2 linked regions of the Elephas maximus indicus genome follow. The main gene of each other region encodes a partner of the protein of the gene in region 2 in a complex. Links are inferred from orthologs where the notes say so. Each region holds a gene or a part of one and is shown on either strand. Other genes may lie near its edges. The genes, in order: NXT1 and NXF1.

What was found.
Region 1: the proteins of NXF1 (region 2) and NXT1 are in contact, whole or in part, in a crystal structure (PDB 4WYK), measured with the Homo sapiens proteins. The link is inferred for Elephas maximus indicus from reciprocal best matches to the Homo sapiens genes NXF1 and NXT1. Residues at the interface, in NP_006353.2 of Homo sapiens: Ala366, Pro367, Thr368, Thr369, Leu370, Pro371, Pro372, Cys373, Lys374, Gly375, Tyr377, His411, Gly413, Cys415, Cys416, Ser417, Leu418, Ser419, Ile420, Pro421, Phe422, Arg440, Asn441, Val442, Lys443, Lys444, Lys446, Pro448, Thr449, Arg451; in NP_037380.1 of Homo sapiens: Phe6, Lys7, Val10, Asp11, Cys14, Glu18, Thr44, Val46, Trp47, Asn48, Gly49, Asn50, Ala51, Phe61, Met64, Leu65, Pro66, Ile72, Ser73, Val74, Val75, Asp76, Cys77, Gln78, Pro79, Val80, His81, Glu83, Ala84, Thr85.

Annotation. Positions count from the first base shown.
Region 1 is NC_064843.1:65,788,002-65,798,434, forward strand, and holds the start of NXT1 (NTF2-related export protein 1), read left to right. Parts: upstream 1-6,022; 5' UTR 6,023-6,166; intron 6,167-6,547; exon of another isoform or gene 6,548-6,763; intron 6,764-10,433.
Region 2 is NC_064825.1:125,953,365-125,963,854, reverse strand, and holds the start of NXF1 (nuclear RNA export factor 1), read left to right. Parts: upstream 1-6,314; 5' UTR 6,315-6,466; coding exon 6,467-6,494; intron 6,495-8,781; coding exon 8,782-8,962; intron 8,963-9,172; coding exon 9,173-9,326; intron 9,327-9,868; coding exon 9,869-9,952; intron 9,953-10,048; coding exon 10,049-10,153; intron 10,154-10,275; coding exon 10,276-10,356; intron 10,357-10,440; coding exon 10,441-10,490. Other genes in the region: STX5 (syntaxin-5), read left to right, coding at 3,724-3,883.

The sequences.
Region 1 (10,433 bases), on a different chromosome or scaffold from region 2:
CCAGACTTGTGGGAGGGATGCCTCTCCACCTCTCCTGCCAGAAGGGTCAGGAGTACAAGGGCAATGACACCCACCCAGCAGCCCTCGGCTCTCGGGAGTTGGTCTATAACTACTCCAGCTTCTGCACCCTCCCCTGCCTCTGCCAGGCAGGATAATTCTCAGGTGTGTGTTCCATGCTGTCTTCAGAGTCCCACAGCACGATCAGGCTCTAGTCACTCACGGTGGGGCTGGCTGGTCAAGCTCTCTTCTCCTTCCTCAACACCCCACTCCCCTACTGGCATTCCCCGCCCCTCCCAGATGACTTACTCTGAATCCTCACTTTGGACCTGCCTCTAGAAGAACTCACTACGTACTAGGCACTTCCTGCACATTAGGTCACGGAACCTGCTTAGAAGCAGAGAAGACTGTCCCCTGAGAGTCAAGCCAGCCGACAAATGCAATGTCACCTTGAAGAGAAACGAGGCTCTGGGCTGCCAGGCTATGATGTGAGGGAATGCGTCCCGATACCCATAGCCAGAGCTTAGAAACACACAAAAAGATGGGGGGATGAAGGGCTATTACAGAGACAAGATAGGAGTGCTGGTGGGAGGGAGCCAGGGTCAGCGGACTCAGTGTGGGTCTCAGATCCCACTGCTGCCAGCTGCTGTCCTCACTGGAAAGGTAGATCCATCTGGCCACGTCAGCTTGATACAGCCAACCCCAGGACCCTACTGGCCATCGTCTCTTCCTGCTCTGATCCACGCTCACAGAGCTGCTCACTGATGACGCCGAGGATTCCTGCCTCCATCTGCTCCTGCAGAGAGAACAAACTTGCCTAGCAACATGAGCGCTCTGGCCCTGGCAGCTACTTGTGCCTATGGATGAATAAACTGACACCCATCCTACGGCGCAGTCTTACGAGCTGGTTTGAAATGACTCATTCTCTGACCAGTGGATTCATTTTCAAGATTAGGTAGGGAAACCGCCTCGGGACTGTTGCGAGTTCTTTGGTGCATCCCCTTGCAAGGCCTCTCGGAGCCCTGTCCTCAGGTTCCTTTAGTGCAAGTGGCAAACTCCTTTCATACAGACACAAATTTAAAAAGAAGGTACTGCCACGCTGGGCTCTCCTGGAGACTTGGAGAACAGTAACGCAAATGGCTCTGGTTCTCTTGCTCATTACAAATCACCACAAAATTTAGTGGCTTAAGAAAACAATCATCACTTACTTTCTCATGCCCCTGCAGTTTGGTCAGGGCTTAGGGGACAGGCTCATCTCTACCAGCAGCAGCAGGACAGTCCCACTCACCTCCAAGATAGCGCACTCACACAACTGGCCACTTGGTGCTTGCTATTGGCTGGGCAGTGGGTGGCTCAGCTGGGTGGAAGCTTTGGGTCTTCATTTCTGTGCTTACCCACAGGTGCTCTGGGCTTACTCATGGTAGCTGGGTTCATGGATGAGCGTATGAAGAGACAGCTGGGCAGAGCCGCACCCCCTTTTATGACCTAACCTCACACACAACCATTTCCTCTGAACCCTGTGAGTTGGGCCTGCCTCACTGGGTCCCCAGGCCTGACCAGATCCAAGGGAAGGGGACAGACACCATCTCCTGGTGGGGACGGCAAGGCAAGGTTTGGACAAGCACATGGAACCAGAAACATTTTTGTGCCCGTTTTTTGGAAAATAACACTTGCCACAACAAGGAACAAAAAAACACTGGGAACCAAGGCAGCTGTTCACCAAGAGCTCATGTGCCTATGCCTGCGTGGGTGTGCCCTACTCTAGCACTCTCTCAGATCACGTGGCCTTTTGACTCTGCTTCATTATCTCGTCTGTCCTCATGGCCACCCAGCTCCCAACCTACAGGCGCTACTGGCCTCAGTTCTTTCTGCCTTCCAAGAATCCCAGGAACTCTCCTCTCCTCTCCTCAGTGGGACTGGCTGTCAAGCTGCCCCACCCCTTCCTGGCCAAGCGGCAGGTGGCGCATGGTTGGAGTTAGGCCAATGCAGCTCTCTGTCTCCCAGGAATCTGAATCTTGAGTGGAGGATCCCAATGGCTAGAAATTTGTCCGAGGTAGCACCTGAAGCACCCACTGCCCAGTTCCTGCTCCCCAGACCCCAGGAGTCTTACCAAGCCCTGCCTTGGCTCAGCAAGCACCTGCAGGCTTCCAGTAAACACCTCTGGCCTACATTAGCCAAAACTGGTTTCTGTTACTTGCGAACAATCAACCCCAATAAATATCCATATTCAGTTCCAGCCACACCTGAAGCTTATTAGCAGTTTCTGGCTCCCAAAATTCCACGTTTCCGGGAAAGAGCATTTGATGGCTCAGCTGGAGAGACTTCCACCTGCAACCCAATCAGCAATGATTCCAAGAACATTCTCAAACAAAGGGCATCCTTGTAGGCGAGGCAAACACTCCCAGTGGTGCCTCCACAATGCGCTGCCATTTAACTACTACGGCATTCCCACTCCCATTTCACAAAGTCACCGAGGAACAGAGGAGGCAGAGTGGCAGAGCTAGGATTTCACAAAACCCTGTCTGCCCCATATGATATGCTCCTTCCATGGCCTCCAGAAAAGTCTCCCCAAAAGTGGGGTCCCCAAGTGACCTCCCAGAACTACAGCCCTGGCTCGCCTGGTTGTTCGGCAGCTTGATGGCCCTGCTGAGGCTTTAGTCTTGTTGCCCCCTGGGTACGAGAGGCTCTCAGTTCTACCTTCTGCCCTCAAATGGCAATCTCTGAAACAAATAAATCAGGGAAAGATTAAAAAAAAAAAGATTTGTTATCAGTGCCAATGCAGGTGGCCCAGCTCCAAGCCTCTTAAGGCAAACACGTGCTGCTAGGTCCTGCAGCAGACACACACCGACAACAGGGGAGATCAACCCTGTCCTTCAGACATAAACATCCTAAGTCAGGCCTGTCTTCAGAGCTGCCAGAGGCTCCGCACGTAGATGTGTCCTCCCTCCCTGGAGAGGCTCCAGGCTGCAAACGGGGCCTCTGCTCTAAGAGAGGCTTCATTTTCTAGAAGGTGCCAATGTGATTTGGTGATAAATCCAGCTAATTTGTCAATACACTTGTCCCATGCTTAAAAGCCAGTCTTTGGAGGGAGAGCTTGTTGGCAAATCAGGAAGTTGCTGTCAGTGCAAACTGTCTAAGCATAATTCTGCCTTGGTGGTGTTTCCTGGGTGCTTAATCTAGGCCAGGCTCTGTGCCAAGCATTGCTTCCTTCGCTGCTCGCATCTGCCCAAGAAAATGGGTATTATTATTGTCCTCATTCTCCGGTGAGGCAGCTGAGACTCAGAGAGGTTAGTTTACATGATCCCCTAGTCAACCCACCAGTCACCTCTACTAGGTATACTAGTTAAATTATAAGTAACGTAAAGCCCAACTTTAAATAGCATGAAAAATGAAGGATATTTTACTAGCTCCTGAAACTGCAAAGTCCAAACTTCAGGGCTGGTTTGACTCAGGGTCTTAACACAGTCATCGAGTGCCTGATTTCTTCCCATCTCTCATGTCTGTCTCATGGGCATGGGGCTCCCCTCAGGGGGGAAAGATGGTTGTCGCAGTGCCATCCACACACCACAAGTCCAGAGAGAGAGAAAACATTTCTTTCCCAGCACCCCTGAGCAACCACCTTCTCCAGGCTTGGTGGCCCTGACTGGGTCTCCCACCATCCCTGAGTTCTGCTTGGGGCACAGTGCCAGCACCCTGTGCCTGAGGGCCAGGCGTGGCCCTAAACTCCCAAATGCAAGGACTGCAGGGGAATAACAACTAGCGGGGCTTCCAAGAGAAGGGGGAGTAGACTTGGGGGAGGGGTCATCACAATTGCAATGTTGTAGAGCAATGATTTGAACTCAGGCCTGTCCTGCACCAAAGCCTATTCATTCAAACAGTATTTATTGAGCTCTTACTGTGAGTTAAGCACAATTTTAGATGCTAGACACAGGTCTTAAAGGTCCCTGCCTTCCTACCCACTGCTGGCTCTGCTGCCTCTTGGGGACAAAGTCCTCTGTATTTACAAGGCATTGGAGATGGACAAACGTTGTCCTGTTCAGCTTTTTTAGGTCTAACTCAACTCTGTAACTCCAGGCTGCTAATTTCATTTCTCTCTCAGCCTCCTCGTCTATAATATCAGGAATAATAACACCTTCCTCAAAGGGTTATGAAAAAAGGGGAATACAGGGAAACTTAAAGCAGCCTAACATTCAACCTAGTGAGCACAGAGTAATCAGCTTTCTTTTCATCCACTGGTGCTGGGATATGGACTTGTGCACAGCGAACCCTGACCTCACTGTCCTGGGCTTCATAAAGAAATAACTGGTATGAGCACTGCTCCAAAGACGCTCATTCGACCTTTCTACTCAGCCTCCAGCTTACTTCTTACAATCCAAACCTCCTTCACCTACTTGATTTCAGTAGCCCATCTTTACTAAACAGCCCACCCGGTTTCTAAGCTCGTCTTGAAATCTGAGAGCAAGGGTTCTCTGAGCAACGCGAGCAAACTCAAGGCTGAGGACACCAAAAAAGCATCCCTCCGATGAATACACGCCCTAAAAGGACACTGCAAAATCCTTGAACCTAGCCCATGCCCAGAATGCTCCCTCACCTTTAACCCAAAAAAATCAAACCCGTTGCTATCGAGTCAATTCCAACCCTCAGTGACCCCACAGGAGAGAGAACTGCCCCATAGTTTCCAAGGAACACCTGGTGGATCCGATATCGCACCTAAGGGTCAGCAAGTGGAGCTCAGAATCTTCCGCCTGAAGTCCAAACGTGTTTTATTCTCACTTTTATTTTCACTAAATGATTCCATATTGGTCAGCTGAAGTTCCAGACAGCTAGTTTGGAAAGCTGGAGCACAGAATCAAGCCACCAGCCAAGCTCTGAGCCACAGCTGGCACCATAAGTATGGAGTGAAGGAAGGAGCCCCTCGGTTCTCAAGACGCAGAAGGTAAACTGCCCTTTGGCGCCCTTTTGCCAGTTCCCAGCTTTACCCACGCCCTCATCCCCATCCTCGACCCTCTTCTCACTTTTAGGCAGTTTCCCGAGACCAAACCCGTTGCCCTGGACTTGAATCCCACTCCCAGCGACCCTACAGGACGTGCTGACCTGCCCCACAGTACTTCCGAGGCAGTAATTCGTCTTGGCAGAAGTGCAGCCAGAACGCTCCTGGGAAACGAGGATAAGGAGGCTCCGTCTCTGGTACTGTGGACACGTTACCACGAGGGCCCGGTCCCGGGAGGGCATCATGCTCGGCTGAGGGTCAGCGGAGAGAGGCAGACCCTCGGCGAGGCGCGCGGACGCGGCGGCTGCACCGGCGGGTTCACAGCAGCAGGCCGGGGCGCCGGCACGGAAGCCGGCCGTGCTCCGTCCCTTGCCTCAGGGTCGCTATGAGCCGGACAGCACCACAGCACCTAACGACAAGCTCACGGAAGCCTCGTCCGGGTGCCTCAGAGCGGCCGGCGGGCTCCAGCCGCGGGCCTTTCGGTTAGCAGCCGAGCCCTGTAACCACTGCTCAGCCGGGGCTCCTGGGTCCCCGCTTACCAGAAGACCTTCCCAACCCCTCAGCCCGTCAACTCCAAGGGCCTCAAGCTACAAACGGCAGCGCCCGCTCGGGTCACCGCTTGGGCAGATAATTACCCTCTCGGAGGGTGCACGTGCTCCCGGCGACCACACGCGATGTCTGACTGAGCGCCTCAGTGGGCTGCCCCGGATGCACAAGTCGCGGGGCGTCACATGCCCCGGAACCGGAAGCCCCAGCTGCAGTTGAGCGTGCGCGCATGAACCTCTCCGGCAGAGCATCACAAGTGGGCGGCCTCGGCTCCGGGGGCGGGGCCTGGAAACTTTATCCAATCAACGATATCTCACCTAACTATTTGGACCGGAGTCTGTGACCCGGTTGGACCAATGAAAGCTCGAGCGCTGCCGTTGCCTGGACCCTCCCCCGCCCGGAAACCGCGGCTCTCTTCCCGCCACACCTAGGCGGGGCTACCTTCCGACTCGCCTTCCCATTGGTTCACTCAGCTGCCGGTCACGCAAGGCGGGCCTCCAGTGGGAATCTGCACCGGGAGCCGCCGGGGGCGCCTCCGGCCGCCAGTCGCCGCCGCCGCCTAGGGCCCCGGCGATCCAGCTGAGTGAGCCCCGCTGGAGGAAAAGAGGGCGGCTCTTCCCGCGCCCCCCACAGGTGAGCCATGGGGGAGCTGAGAGCCTCGGCAGTCCCACCCGTGACCTTCAGGTGCCGGGCCTCTCGGTAGACCTGCAGTCCGCGACGCCCCCTGTCCCCGCCCCGTCGCCCCTGGGGACTCCTACCGCCCCCCGCGCACCGGAGACGCCCCCGCCCCACGGGGACTCCCCCCGCCCACCGGAGACGGCCCCGCCCCCCCGGGACGCCCACTGCCCCTGCCCCGCCGGCCCCCGGGGACGCCCACCGCCCACCCCGGACGCCTACCCGCCCCCACTCCCCGCCCACGCTCACTGGGGGTCGCTGAGTCGCACCCCGACCCGCGCTGGCGAGGGAGGCGGAGACCCTCTCCGCCCGCGCTGACCCGGGATGTGGTCTGCACAGGTAGGTCGCCGACCCCATCTGGTACATTGGGGACCACGCGCGGACGCGGAGCGATTCACGAGAGACAGGGAGAGGAACACGGGCATTCCCGAGCCTTGCTTCACTGTCAAGGGAAACCCGCGGGTTTTGTCGCTAAATCAGGAGGTATCAGTGCAGGCCTGCGTTAGGTTTCTGCGTGTGCGGGAGGAAGAGCATGCGTTCAGAGAGAAACTCTCGGTAAGTTTGCATTGCAGTGAGCAGGAGAGAGCCATGTAGAGGAGCAGCTCTGAGGCCTCAGAAGAACTGTGTAACTGTTGCATCTTCTCACTCAGCATTCGGTGATGTGGAGCCCAGAGAAAAGGAGGCGGTATTCACAGATTTTCATTTATCCCACTTTCCACAGTCTCATTATTGCTCTGTATTAACGTAGCGAAGAGACGTGGTCGTTTATTGGGAGAGGGGACATGATTGTGAGTGGAAGCAGAGGTGGGGGAACAGGGGCTCAACTGAAGAGAAGGTCCGGAGACAATGGAATTGAGACGATGGAGGACTGACGGGACATCAGGATGAGGAGGAATGTGGACCTTGTAATGGTCGGGCCTTCCAGAAAGAGAAATCTGAGTTTCCAGAAAGGAATTTTCAAACCACTTGTCCTGGAGCTAAGCTCAAGTAGACAAATTCAGCTTTAGTTAAAAAATGCAGGGAACTTTGAGCAAATAAAAGGCCAGCAGTCTTTTGAAATTTTTCAAGGTCCACAGACGTTTTTATGAACGGTAAATCAGGCATCTACTTACTGTTGTGATCTTGTTCCAGACTGTTGTTTTCTGATTTATAAAGCTGTTGTGTAATGTCCTCCTCACCCATTCATTATCCAGCTGCTGGCAACGCTCCAGGACGGAGCAGAGCTGCCGGGTGGGGTTTCCAAGGCTGTAAATCTTTACAGAAGACTGCAACAGGTTTCTCCCGTGCAGAGGCAGATGAGTTCAAACCACTAACCTTAAGTTTAGCAGCTGAGTGCTTAACCCCTGTGCCACCATGGCTCCTTTCATCCAGCATGGTGATGCTTAAGTGAAGGTAAGGCGTGTAAAGCCCTATCACAGTACCTAGCCCAGAGTAAGTGCGCACTGATGTCTGGTATCGAGGTCCGTGGAGGAAGTGGAAAGACCAGTGTCTGTGGAAGACCCAACTCTTATGTCTAGGGCTGCTCCCCCACCCCCCACCCCCCACCCCCCACCCCCCACCCCCCACCCCCCACCCCCCACCCCCCACCCCCCACCCCCAGCTCTTCACAGGTCTTTACTAGAGGCAGATGCCAGTGCCTTTCCCAGCCTTTAAATCTACCTGACCAGGTCTCTTTCTCCACCCCATGTGGAATCTGTCATCTGTTTTGTTAGCTGATGATTACAGCAGGCTCTAGTGGCACGGTGCTCACGCACTTAGCTGCTAAGTGAAAGCTTAACGGTTCAAACCTGTTAGCTGCTCCATGGGAGAAAGATGTGGCAGTCTGCTTCTATAAAGATTCACGGCCTTTGAAACCCTACAGGGCAATTCTGTTCCGTCCTGTACACGGTTGCCATGAGTCAGAAGGTTTTTTGGGGGGCGGTGCTTATAAGAACAGAAATTTATTGCCTCATGATTTTAGAGGCTTGTAGTCTGAATTCATGTTCTCAACAAAAGGTCTAGGCTAAGATTTTTTTTTTTAAGTGAAAGTTTAAAAACAAGTCAATATCTCATATAAAAACTTATGTAACCTTGCTGTGTACTCCTGTTTCCACTTCTGTATTGACACAGCGAAACCCTGGTGGCGTAGTGGTTAAGTGCTATGGCTGCTAACCAAAGGGTTGGCAGTTCGAATCTGCCAGGCGCTCCTTGAAAACCCCTCTGTGGGGCAGTTCTACTCTGTCCTATAGGGTCGCTATGAGTCGGAATCGACTTGATAGCACTGGGTTTGGTTTTTTGGGGTTTTATTGACACAGCACACTCTTTCCCTCCGCTCTCTATTTTTGTGTCCATTCAGCCAGCATCTGCCCCCCTCTGCCCTCTCCTTTCTTCTCCAGACAAGAGCTCCCTACAGTTTCCTGTGTCTGCTTGTTTGGGTTTACTTGATCCAAGGAGCTCACTCTTCACCAATATCATTTTCTGTCCCATCGTCCAGCCCAATCTCTGTCTGAAGAGCTGGCTTTGGGAATGGTTCCTGTCTTGGGCTAACAGAAAGTCTGGGAACCATGACCTCTGGGGTCCTTCTAGTCTCAGTTCGACCATTAAGTCTGGTCATTTTGCGGAATTTGGGGTCTGCATCCCCATGCTCTCCTCCTGCTCCCTCAGGGGTTCTCTGTTGTGTTCCCTGTCAGGGCAGTCATCAGTTGTAGTTAGGCACCATCTAGTTCTTCTGGTCTCAGGCTGAGGTAGTCTCTGGTTTATGTGGCCCTGTCTGTCTCTTGGACTCACAATTAATGACCTTGTATCCTTAGTGTTCTCCATTCTCCTTTGCTGCAGGTGGGTTGAGACCAATTGATGCATCTTAGATGGCTACTTACTAAGATTTAAGATCCCAGAAGCCGTGCTCTAAAGTGGGATCAGAACATTTTCTTAATAGATTTTATTATGCCAGTTGAGTTAGATGTCCCCTGAACCCATGGTCCCCAAACCCGCACCCCTGCTGCGCTGGCCTTCGAAGCATTCAGTTTATTCAGAGACTTCTCGCTTTCGGTTAAGTCCGGTTGTGCTGACCTCTCCTGTATTGTGTGTTGTTTTTCCCTTCGCCTAAAATAGTTCTTACCTACTATCTGATTGGTGAAAACCCCTCTCCCTCCCTCCCTCCCCGCTCTCATAATAATCAAAGAATATTTTCTTCTCTGTTTAAACTATTTTTTGAGTTCTTATAATAGTGGTTTCATAAAATTGGTCGTTTTGCAACCGACTAATTTCACTCAGCATAATGCCTTCCAGGTTCCACCACGTTACAAAATGTTTCACAGCTTCCTCACTGTTCTTTATCGATGCATAGTATTCCATTCTGTGAATATACCATAATTTATCCATTCATCTGTTGATGGACACCTTGGTTGCGTCCATCTTTTTGCTGTTGTAAACAGTGCTGCAGTAAACACGAGTTGCATATATCTGTTCGTGTAAAGGGTCTTATTTCTCTAGGATATATTCCAAGGAGTGGGATTGCTGGATCTTATGGCAGTTCTATTTCTAGCTTTTTAAAAATCGAAGGAAGTGCCAAATCGATTTCCAAAGTGGTGGTACCATTTGACATTTCCACCAGCAGTGTATAAGTGTTGCAGTCTCTCCACAGCCGCTCCAACATTTATTATTTTGTGTTTTTGGATTAACGCCACCGTTATTGGAATGAGATGGAATGTCATTGTAGTTTTGATTTGCATTTCTCTAATGGCTAATGATCATGAGCATTTCCTCATGTATCTGTTAGCTACCGGAATGTCTTCTTCAGTGAAGTGCCTGTTCATATCCTTTGCCCATTTTTGAATGGGGCTATTTGTCTTTATGTAGTTGTTTTTGCAGTATCATGTAGATTTTAGAGATTAGACACTGGTCAGAAATGTCATAGCTAAAAACTTTTTCCCAGTCTTTAGGTAATCTTTTTACTGTTTTGGTGTTTGATTTTTAGGAGCTCCCGGTTATCTAGTTTCTCTTCTGCATTGTTAGTAATGTTTCGCATGCTGTTTATGCTATGTGTTAGGGCTCCTGGTGTTGTCCTTATTTTTTCTTCCATGATCTTTATTGTTTTAGATTATATATTTAGGTCTTTGATCCATTTGTAGTTAGTTTTTGTGCATGGTGTGAGGTATGGGTCTTGTTTGACTTTTTTGCAGATGGATTTCCAGTTACGCCAGCACCAGTTGTTAAACTGACTGTTTTTTCCCCCATTTAACTGACT
Region 2 (10,490 bases):
GTCATGTCAGATTAAGGCCCTCCCTACTCCGATATGACCTTATTTTAACTCATAACATCCTCCAAGACTGTCTCCCAACAAGGTCACATCAACAAGTACCAGAGGTTGAGACTTGATGAACGTATCTTTTTGGGGCACACAGTTCAGCCCATAACACATACCTAAAAAATGAGCAATTCTCTGACAGTATGTAGGAACCCCGCTGGTACAGTAGTTAAAGAGCTCGGCTGCTAACCAAAAGGTCAGCAGTTCGAATCCACCAGCCGCTCCTTGGAACCCTATGGGGCAGTTCTGCTCTGTCCTGTAGGGTTGCTATGAGTCGGAGTCGACTAACGACAATGAGTTTTTTTCTCTGGTACTCAGATCATATTCAAATGTCTTTGTTCTAAAAAATGTTTTTAGCTTTTTTAAATTCAATTTAGAACCCAGCAGGATTCACGCGTTGTATTTGGTTGTTACTTCTCTTTAGTCTACCTTTGGTGTTGTCTTACTTTTTATGACATTGACTTGTTTTTGAAGAGGCCGGTACAGTAGAGTTAGAGAAAGTCCTGCATCGTACATGGGTCCATTGTGTCTTCATGATTAGGTTATTTTGGGCTGTGTAACCTAGGTGATCACATCTGTAGGCACTTAATGTGTGACTATCCCTTTATTGGTGATGCCACGTTTGGGCACTTTAAGGTGGTAACCATCAGATTTCTCCGTCAGAAAGGCCCATTTTCCCTCTTTCTGTGACTAAGTCATCTGTGGAGCGATGCTTTGAGTCCATGTGAACGTCCAGCTCTGCAGGCTCATGGTGATCCTTGTCGGAATCACTTGTTAGATTGTGCATTGCAAAATGGTGATTTTCTAATTCTGTCATTTCCTTTTACATTTATTAGCTGGTATTTTCTCTATATATCACTATGAAGTCATGGCTTTTTTAATTCAATGTATTATAATCCATTTGCCATCATTCTTTATGACAATGAAATTTCTTCATTCTGGCCATATGGAGCCACTTCAGAGCAGCTTCTGTGTATTTTTAACATGAGTCCATTTACTCCCAATCATAAAATTTGGGGGAAACAGAAACTCAGAAAACTAAAATCCCAGGTCTTCTAATCATGGGCAGGTGACCTTTACAGTTAGTTCTTGGGCTCATTGCCTTTTTGGGCTCAACCTTTTTCTTCTTTCTCCTCAACTTCTCATACTCACATTATAGTCCTCTGGTTTCCCATGCTCTCATATCAGTGTCATTATCTGTCATTTCTGCTCAGCCAAACTCTAGCTGCTGCTGCATTTGCTTTTAATACCTAGAGGAAGTTGGCTGCCCATTCTTGGCTGAGATTAACATTCATCCTCTGTGTCCTCCTACCTGAGGACACTCTGGAAAAGGTATCAGGCCAGAGCCAGCCATGCAAAAATGTCCACATATTGGGCGGGAGATAGCCAGATGGCTGTCACGCGCCTTGGTTTCCTCCCATGAATAATATAACCACACCCCTGTACACTCCTTATCCTTTACTTCCCAAGAGTGACTCGTTTGCACATCGCCTTCGCAATGTCCACCATGTCTATAAGCAATCAATTTTTTTTTTCTGTTTCAGTCACGGTTTTTTTTTTTTTAATAATGTGTTTTCAGTGAGAGTTTACACAACAAATTAGGTTCCCATTTAAATAATAAGTTATTCAGTGACATTGACTACGTTTTTTGTCATGTGTCAACATTCTTATCTGCTCTTGTTGTCACAGGAGTTTTTTTTTTTCCTCCTAAATTTTATTTTGTTGTTGGGAACATACACAGCAAAGTACACACCCGTTCAGCAGTTTCTGCATGTTACAGTTCAGTGACATTGATGACATTCTTCGAGTTGTGCAGCCATTGTCACCTTCCTTTTCTGAGTTGTTCCCCCCTCATTAACATAAGCTCATGTGCCCTACGGTTCCTATCTAATCTTTTGAGTTGCTGTTGTCAATTTGATCCCAAGACTCCAACTTCTTACGGCTTGATTCTTTCCCTCTACAGTGTGTCTTTCTCTTCATAGAACATTTGTTTATCCTCCTACCGTTGCATACTTTGCCCCTTTCTGTTTTCCTTAGCTCACCTCTCTCCTTCCCAAGCAATATTTTCTGTCCCATTCATTTTTTTTCTAATTCCCCTGCTACTATCTCTGAATATCCCACTGATTCCTGATTTTTTCACCATCCGAACTCCTGTCTATCAGTTTTCATTCATGAACTCTGGTAGAAAATCTTTCATATGCCAGGTTGCATTTATTAACCTTTTCCATTTTTGTTAAGCAAAGCCATTCGTAGTTGCCCGTATGAACCTTATTTGGTTATAAGAAAACAAACGCATCCACACTGAGAAATGTAATTATACCCAAAAGCTAGGAAGCCTGACACTTTAGTTAGCCTCTCCAACATTATTTGGAAATCACATACGATCCAGGCTCCTCCTGTGTTTGAGACACTGAGGTTAGCTCACAGTCTTCATGACCACCTTCTCAGGACTGGGAACTGGCAGCCACTGGGCCACCCTCTCCTCTCACTTCCCAGCAGGAGTGCCAGGCTCCACCACATTCTTTGTACTTGTAGCCCACAAGTGTGTCCGCTCACAGGGACTACTTTTGCAAAGATAAGGATTTCTATTTGGTTTTTAGGATTGCATATGCAGATTGACTGGGAAATCCTTTATTTTCCTCGGGACTTTCTCAAGAGATTGCCCTTCCTCTAAGAACTTCTCTATATGTAAGAACACCTAATTCTCTAAACCGAAGGATGTCTATGTCTATTGGAAAATTTTCATCCTTTCAAGTTTCAGTTTCTTTTGCATATGCTTGTCTACATTTTCTGTTTCCTTATCCCCCTTTTCTGCTTCAGCCTGCTATAAAATTGTTCCTAAGCCCTTCAACTGAAACTGCTGGCACTGACGTAATTAACACCTTACAGTTCTTACCTCGTACTTCCATTCTCAGAGACATGTTCTCCCAGTAGGCCTTTTCTCATCCCCTGACTTCCTGTCCACATTAAATTTCTCTTCTTCTCTCACTCAGAACCAGGATTTCCTGACTCTGATGGTCTGTGAACTTTTTTCCCTATTATAAATGAGCATATATTTATTAGACAGAAATGAGTAAGTACTGATGAGCCAAAAATTACAGCTAACATTTTGAGGGATCTTACCCATGGGTTGTTGATTGTGATTCATAGCAACCCCACACGACAGAGCAGGACTGTCCCATAGGGTTTTCTGAGCTATGATCTTTACCAGAGGAGATTGCTAGTTTTTTCTCCTGTGGAGCTGCTGGGTGGGTTCTGACCACCAACCTTTTCATTAGTAGCTGAGCACTTAACCGTTGCATCACTGGGGCACCTTTACTATGGATTAGGCACTTTATATTTGTTGATTTATTTTAGACTGACAACAGCCTGAGAGGTAGGGTGTGGGATACCCTCATTTTGCAGATGAGGAAAATGAGACATGAGGTTAAGTGACTGGCTTAGGGTCATAAGCTAATAAGTACAGAGCCGGTTTTCAAACCAGAGCTAAGACTTGGTTATGTAGCCCTCCCGAGCCTTTTTTATGCCCCGTAATAGATACAAAAAAAGGTATCATATTGTATATAAACCCTTTTTGTCCCCACATATTGTGACCATCTTTCCATGTCAATAAATACACCTCAACAGCATTCTTTTTAATCCAGTGTCCTGTTTCCTTTCCTCCCGGCCTGTCCCCAGGATCGACGAGAACGTGCTAGGAGCCCAGCTGGATGTTGAGGCCGCCCACTCAGAGATCCTCAAGTACTTCCAGTCAGTCACCTCCAATCGGTGGCTCATGGTCAAAATCTTCCTCATCCTCATTGTCTTCTTCATCATCTTTGTGGTCTTCCTTGCCTGAGCCCTCTCTACTCTTAAGGCACTCCATGGGGGTTTGGAGCCCTCCCGGGAAGGCAGGTGGCCAGTGCTGCCACTGAGCCTGTGCAGGGTGCTTGGGAGAAAGGCCCTGTTTCCCTGGAACTGCTAAGAATGGCCACTGCCCCTTGACAACGTCCCCCCCCCCCCCCATCTTGCCTCTGGCTACCCTGTCCATCCTCACCATCCTCAACCCACAAAACACACACGGTTCTGGATTTGGACTCTGCTGTGAAGTGACTGGAAGGGAGCAAAGGCCAGCTGGGGGCCAGTGGGAGAGGCTGTCTCTACTATGAGTTTTTCTAAATCCTCCCCAGCCTCTCCTAAAGGAAACTTTGGCAGCAAGGGGAAATGATGCCCTTCCCCCCACCTTCCTGAGAGTGAGGAGAGGAAGAGAAACTGTCCCAGGGACCAACTTTCCCATCTGGGTTAGAACTTGACCTCTTTCTTCTTCCTTTCTTCACCATGTGAGGCTGGGGGTCCTGAGCCCCTCGGCTGCCTGCACAAACCCCAACATGGCTGCTCGTGACTCTCAATCTGCCAAATGCACTGCAGCCCATTTTCTCCCAATTACAGCAAGACTGTCAGCCTCAATAGCCATGTTGTCATTTCTGGGTGGGAGCGTCGAAGGGCCTAGGCAGCAAGTGGGTGAGACCACTGCCCAGTACCAAAACTGAAAGGGTTGCGCTGATGGCTCCAAGGGGCCCCAAGGCCGACTGTGGCAGCCTCTGAGCTCTGTACACACAGCCGCCTCCAGGGAGCAGAGAACCAAATGCAACAGCACCTCATTAGCATGAAACTTCTTTCAAAAGGAGGAGCTGGATCCCAGAGTGGGTGATTGGTGGCCAACTCTGAGACCATCTCGAACAGTGTGTGGACTGATTCCATCTGCATCCTCCAACCAGTTGACCTCAGTTCTTCTCTGAGCTGGTTGAGGCAGGAGCTCTGCCTGCTGTCAGTACCAAATAATGAAGTGCTATATGCCCTGCTCCAGCTGAGGCTCTGTGTTTTCTCCAAGCCCTCGCCAAATTGAAGCCAGTCAAAGAACAGAGGAGAAAACTGCCAGTATACCCATCCTCCAGGGAGGTTGATAGGCTGCTTTGACCTTCCTGACCAGAACCCACAACCACACCATTCTGAGATCACTGGAGTCCGTCTTTCAGACATCCCAAAGGAAACTCGAGCTATAGAGACTCCAGTCATCCTACTCAGGATCTGTCCTAGTACCTTGGGGCCTAGGGGAGCCCCTGGCTTTTTTCACCCTGGCATTTTAATAATTCCTTGCCCCTTGGCCTCTTTTCAAGGGGCCCTGGCGGCACAGTGGTTAAGCACTCAGCTGCTAACTGAAAGATCGGCAGTTCGAACCCACCAGCTGTTGCACAGGAGAAAGATGTGGCGGTCTGCCTCTGTGAAGATGACAGCCTTGGAAACCCAATGGGGCAGTTCTGTCCTGTAGGGTTAGTATGAGTCAGAATCGAGTCACAGCGGTGAGTTTGGTTTTGGCTGTGGCCTCTCTTAAGCAAGTGGTCTTGCTTGCACCTTCGTTGTCTGCCCAGTTGACATATGACGTGGGCCTAGCACAGTGCATAGTGGTTGGGGACATTTGTGAAGTGTTTGCTAAAGCCCGGCATACACGCAGCCTCATTTGACTTGGTAACTCTTCCAGGAGAGGGATGCTTAGAAGGGAAATTTACTTCACAAATATTTGAGTTCCTGCTGTGTGCCAGGCATGGTACTGGGCCAGGAGTTGGAGGGAAAAAAAGCATGAATTAAGTCATGGTCCCTGCTGTCATTCATTCATGTGTTCTCATTAGATTCCGGTGTTCAATTTCGTGGTTATTAACACATTTTATGGGTGAGAAAAACCAGGCTCAAGGTCCCTGCTGGTAAGGGGATGGGCTAAAACTTGGTCAAATGGCTGGATCCTGCTAGGTGTCCGTGAGAGAGAAATCCCACTCCGGGGTCCGGTCTCCAGTTCCTCGGAAGCCCTTGGCGCGACCCTTCTTCCCCATTTCTCTCCGAGTCCTGGGCTGGAGCAGCCTCGAGGCCGTTGGGCTGTTCGCTGCTCCCGCGCTAACTCGAGCAGGACGGATTAACTCAATAAACAGGGTACTCGCGGGCTTCGCTGTGCTTCATTACCAATCTAGGGCGCAATTTCACCTGCGTTCGACATGAACCCCAGATGAAACTGTGCACTACAGATTAGTACGCAAAGTTAACCCCGTGCATACCGTGCTTACCGGTTAACCCGCCACTGCCCCGGAGGTGCCGGAGGAGCGCCGGCCGACGTTCGAAGAAGGTGGCGGGTGAATGGGCCTGGGATTCCGGGCTCCGAAAGCGCAGCCCTCGGAGCCGGCCCCGCCCCCAGCCGCGTCCTGCCGTTTGCGCACGCGCAGTGCGCTGCGCTAGTCCCGGCGGCCCCGCCCACCAACTGGGGACGTCGGCGGCGCGCGACGTGCTCCTCCGGGCAAATGCGGCGGTGCCGGGCGTAGAGGTGTTTCGGCCTGGGTGCCTGGGCGTTCGGACGTTTGGTGGCCCGCGCCTGAGCGTCCCTGCTTGTCGCAGCGCCATGGCCGACGAGGGGAAGTCGTACAGCGGTGAGTGCTGGTCCTCGGGCGGCGGAGCGGGGCGATCCGGGGCCGGGGTGGGCGGCGCCGGCCTAGGCCTCAGCGCCGGGGCGTGAGGCCGCGAGGGGCCCGGCGTCCGTGGGGAAGGGCGCGGGGCGGGCGGGCCGGGGGCGAGGCGGCCTCGGGAGGCCCCAGCCGCACTCGAGGTGGGCGCCGGGGTTGTTGACTCGGGAATCCTGGCGTGAGGACCTGCGGCTCGAAGCGGGTGGCTCAGGGTGGGGTGACAGGATTCCTTTGAACTGTGGGTGGTTGATGCCTGTCAGTTCAGTTTGGCGGCCCGACTCTTCCTTTAATGTGACTCAGTGTATCTGGGCTGCCGTGGTGCCCAGTTTTCTACCGCGTGTAGTCGGTATCGTACCTCTTCCTGCCGTTTGAGCTTAATGTCGTAGACCACCTATACACCACCTCGATATTCTGATCTCCTGGGTTTAGTCCAGCGTAGTGTTCATGAATCAAAAACGACGTATTGCATCGGGCAGATCTGTGCCAAAGACCATCTTAAAGTGTTAAAAAGCAAAGATGTCGCTGTGAAGACTAAGGTGCGCCTGACCCAAGCCGTGGTATTTTCAAACGTCTTATGTGTATGCGAAAGCTGGGCAAAGAATAAGGAAGATGAAAGAAGAAGCGAGGCCTTTGAATTATGGTGTTCGCAAAGAATATCGAATATACCACGGACTGCCAGAAGAACGAACAAGTCTGTTTTGGAAGAAGTACAGCCAGAACGCTCGTTAGAAGCAAGAATGGCGAGAGTTCATCTCATGTACTTCAGTCACATTATCAGGAGGGATCAGTCCCTGGAGAAGGAGATCATGCTTGGTAGAGGATCAGTCAGAAAGAGGAGACCCTCAACAAGGTGGATTGACACAGTGGCTCAAACGTAGCCATGATTGTGAGGATGGCGCAGGATCAGGCAGTGTTTTGTTCTGTGGTACCTAGGGTTGCTGCGTCGGAACTGACTTGAGGGCACCTAACAACCAACAGTGGTTAGGAGTGCATGACAGCCGAGGTTTGAATCCTGATTTGGCTGCACCAAGCTTGAGTGAGTTAATTAAACTCAGGCCTTGTCTTCCGTTATCTGTAATAAGGTAATAATAGTATCTAACTCCTAAGGTGTGTGTGTGTGTGCGCTTAAATGAGATGGTTCAAGTCAAGTTCCTGGAGCATAGTGTTTAGACTGGAGAAAACGTGCAGTGAATGTGAGCTGCTGTTGTTATTCTTTTTTTTTTTCTTCCTTCCCTGGGTCAGTTTGTTGGGGTTCACTGGTCGGAGGATACTAGGCATTAGGCAGATCTTCTTGGTTGGAGGATACCAGGCGTTAGGTAGACCTTCTTGGGGAGTCATGGACCGTTTCTTAAAAGCTATTCCTACACATCTGGATTCAGAGAATCATGTCCCTGGAGCTCATTCCAGGCTCCTTTGTTGAGCATCTGTCCTAGGCTGGAGCCGCCACTCGAGCCTGAGTCTAGGAGCTGTCCCCACAGCTAAAGGCATTTCAGGCAAAGGAAATGGAGGACTCATTCACAAAACTTCAGAGTGGCAGTTTGAGAGCAGGGAGATTTTTTAAGGTGGCCCTAAAATTGGTCATATTTGGGGTTGACATTTGGTAAAAAGTACGATTTACCAAAAGCTGATGTCATCATTGTGATTGGTTAGGTTAGGAGGTGTGAGAGAAATCAGGTTACACTGAGTAGACCTGGGAGGCTGAGAGAAAGCAGGAACTTTAAGTGACTTTGGGGGTCTGATTTGTGTCCACTTATACTTTTGGATTACCCACATTTCCACAGCCTGCTTCTCCTTTCTGTAGTACGAAATTCTGCTGTCATTTTCGAAAGCCCTACACAGTTTTCCCTGGTGGTGCAGTGGTTAAAACACTCAGCAGCTAACCAGAAGTTTTGCAGTTCGAACCCATCAGCTGCTCCACGGGAGAAAGATGTGGCAGTCTGCTGCTGTAAAGATTTACAGCCTTGGAATCTCTATTGGACACTTCTGTTCTGTCCTTATAGGGTCGCTAGGACTTGGAATAGACTCTGCAGCAACGAGTTTGGTTTTTAAACACAGTTTGCCAAGAATTTTTCCTTGAAGATGCCATCTCTCAGAGAGGGCTCTTTAGACAGGCAGAGGGGTTTGTGTGGAGGTGGCCTCTGTTATATGTATCTCGTCTAGTAGTACAGGGTGACAAATACTGTGATTGCCACACCAGGGTATCTGGACTACTGATGTGTTTCTAACTAATTTGTGTTCCTGTTTCCGATTCCAGAGCACGATGACCGTGTTAGTTTACCTCGAAGAAGAAAAGGCCGGGGTCCTTTCCGTTGGAATTATGGCGAGGGGAACCGTCGCTCTGGAAGAGGCGGTTCTGGTACTCGGTCTTCTCGCCTTGGGGAAGATGATGGCGATGTGGCGATGGTTGATGCCCAGGATGGTCCCCGAGTACGATAGTAAGTGACCAGTTGGTCTGGCTGAAATTTAGTGACCCATCAGATTCTGCAGCTCTCTTACTGTCCATACCCCTTCTCTTTCCCATTTTGAAGGATGAGAAATGCCAGAATCGGCTTAATGGTTGAACACCCTCAGCTCTAGCCATGATAACAGTGTGGAGGCCTTTGAGAAGAATTTTCTAGCACTTACGGACATTTTTTTCCTCACAGCAACCCTTATGCTGCCCGACCCAACCGTCGCGGTGATAATTGGCACGATCGAGGCCGTATCCACGTCACTGTGCGGAGAGACAGAGCTCCTCCAGAAAGGGGGGCGGCTGGCACCAGCCAGGATGGGACCTCGAAGAACTGGTTCAAGATTACAGTGAGTACCTTGGAAAAGAAGTAGGTGGTGTAGGGGAGACGGGGGCTGGGCTCACAGTGAAAGCGTTTCCTGTTTATTTCATAAAGTCAGTCTTTTCGGCTCTTTATCTTACAACTAGGCATCTGTCTGTTTTGCCTAAGGATCAGTATCGTAGAACACCAAAAAGTTGGTCTGTAGAAGGGAACAGGCAGGATGGGGGTACCATCTACAGGGAAACATGGTAACTGTGCTTGGGAGATAGAGAAACTCCTGGCTGTCTCAATTAGAATCCCTGGAGTTCTCAGAGGGGCAGGCAAGGTGTAAACGATAATCTTGGAGCTTTTAGAACCAAAAGTTTTTATTCTTTTGCAAAAAAAGTTTAAGTGGACAGGAAGCAAGTTAAGGGGTTCACATCTAACTTAAATAATGAGCATATGTCTAGTCCTCTTCTTAGAAAATCTTTTAAAAGCTTGGCAGAAGGCCTGAAAAAGCCACTAGGTTGGGTTTGCTCTTCTACCTTAGTTACGTATTGTTGTTCTCTTTTTTTTCTTTTTCCTTTTTAGATTCCTTATGGCAGAAAATACGACAAGGCCTGGCTGCTGAGCTTGATTCAGAGCAAGTGCAGTGTTCCCTTCACTCCTGTCGAGGTGAAATAAGGCCTCAGTCTCAGGCTGGTGGGGCACCTTGGAGGGCAGAAGGGGTCTGGGCTCTAAGTCTAATGCTGCTATTTCTGCTTCTTACAGTTTCACTATGAGAACACACGGGCCCAATTTTTTGTTGAAGATGCCAGCACCGCCTCTGCACTGAAGGCTGTCAACTATAAGATTTTGGATCGGGAGAACCGAAGGGTATGTGTAGAGGGCCCTGGCTTGGCGGGATATGGGGACTGGTGCACAGGGCAGGGACTGGGTCTTAGCACTGGGGCTTGGACTTCCTGGGGTTTACCCTGCCCTTTGTTTCTTCCCTGCAGATATCAATCATCATCAACCCCTCAGCTCCACCCCAAACGGTGCAGAACGAGCTGAAGCCAGAACAAGTAGAGCAGCTAAAGGTGAGGCAGGCTCGAGCAATGTGTTTCCACCCCATCCCCACACACATCCCCAGTCACAGCTGAACCTTTTCTCTTTCTCTCTAGCTGATCATGAGCAAAAGATATGATGGCTCCCAGCAAGCACTGGACCTCAA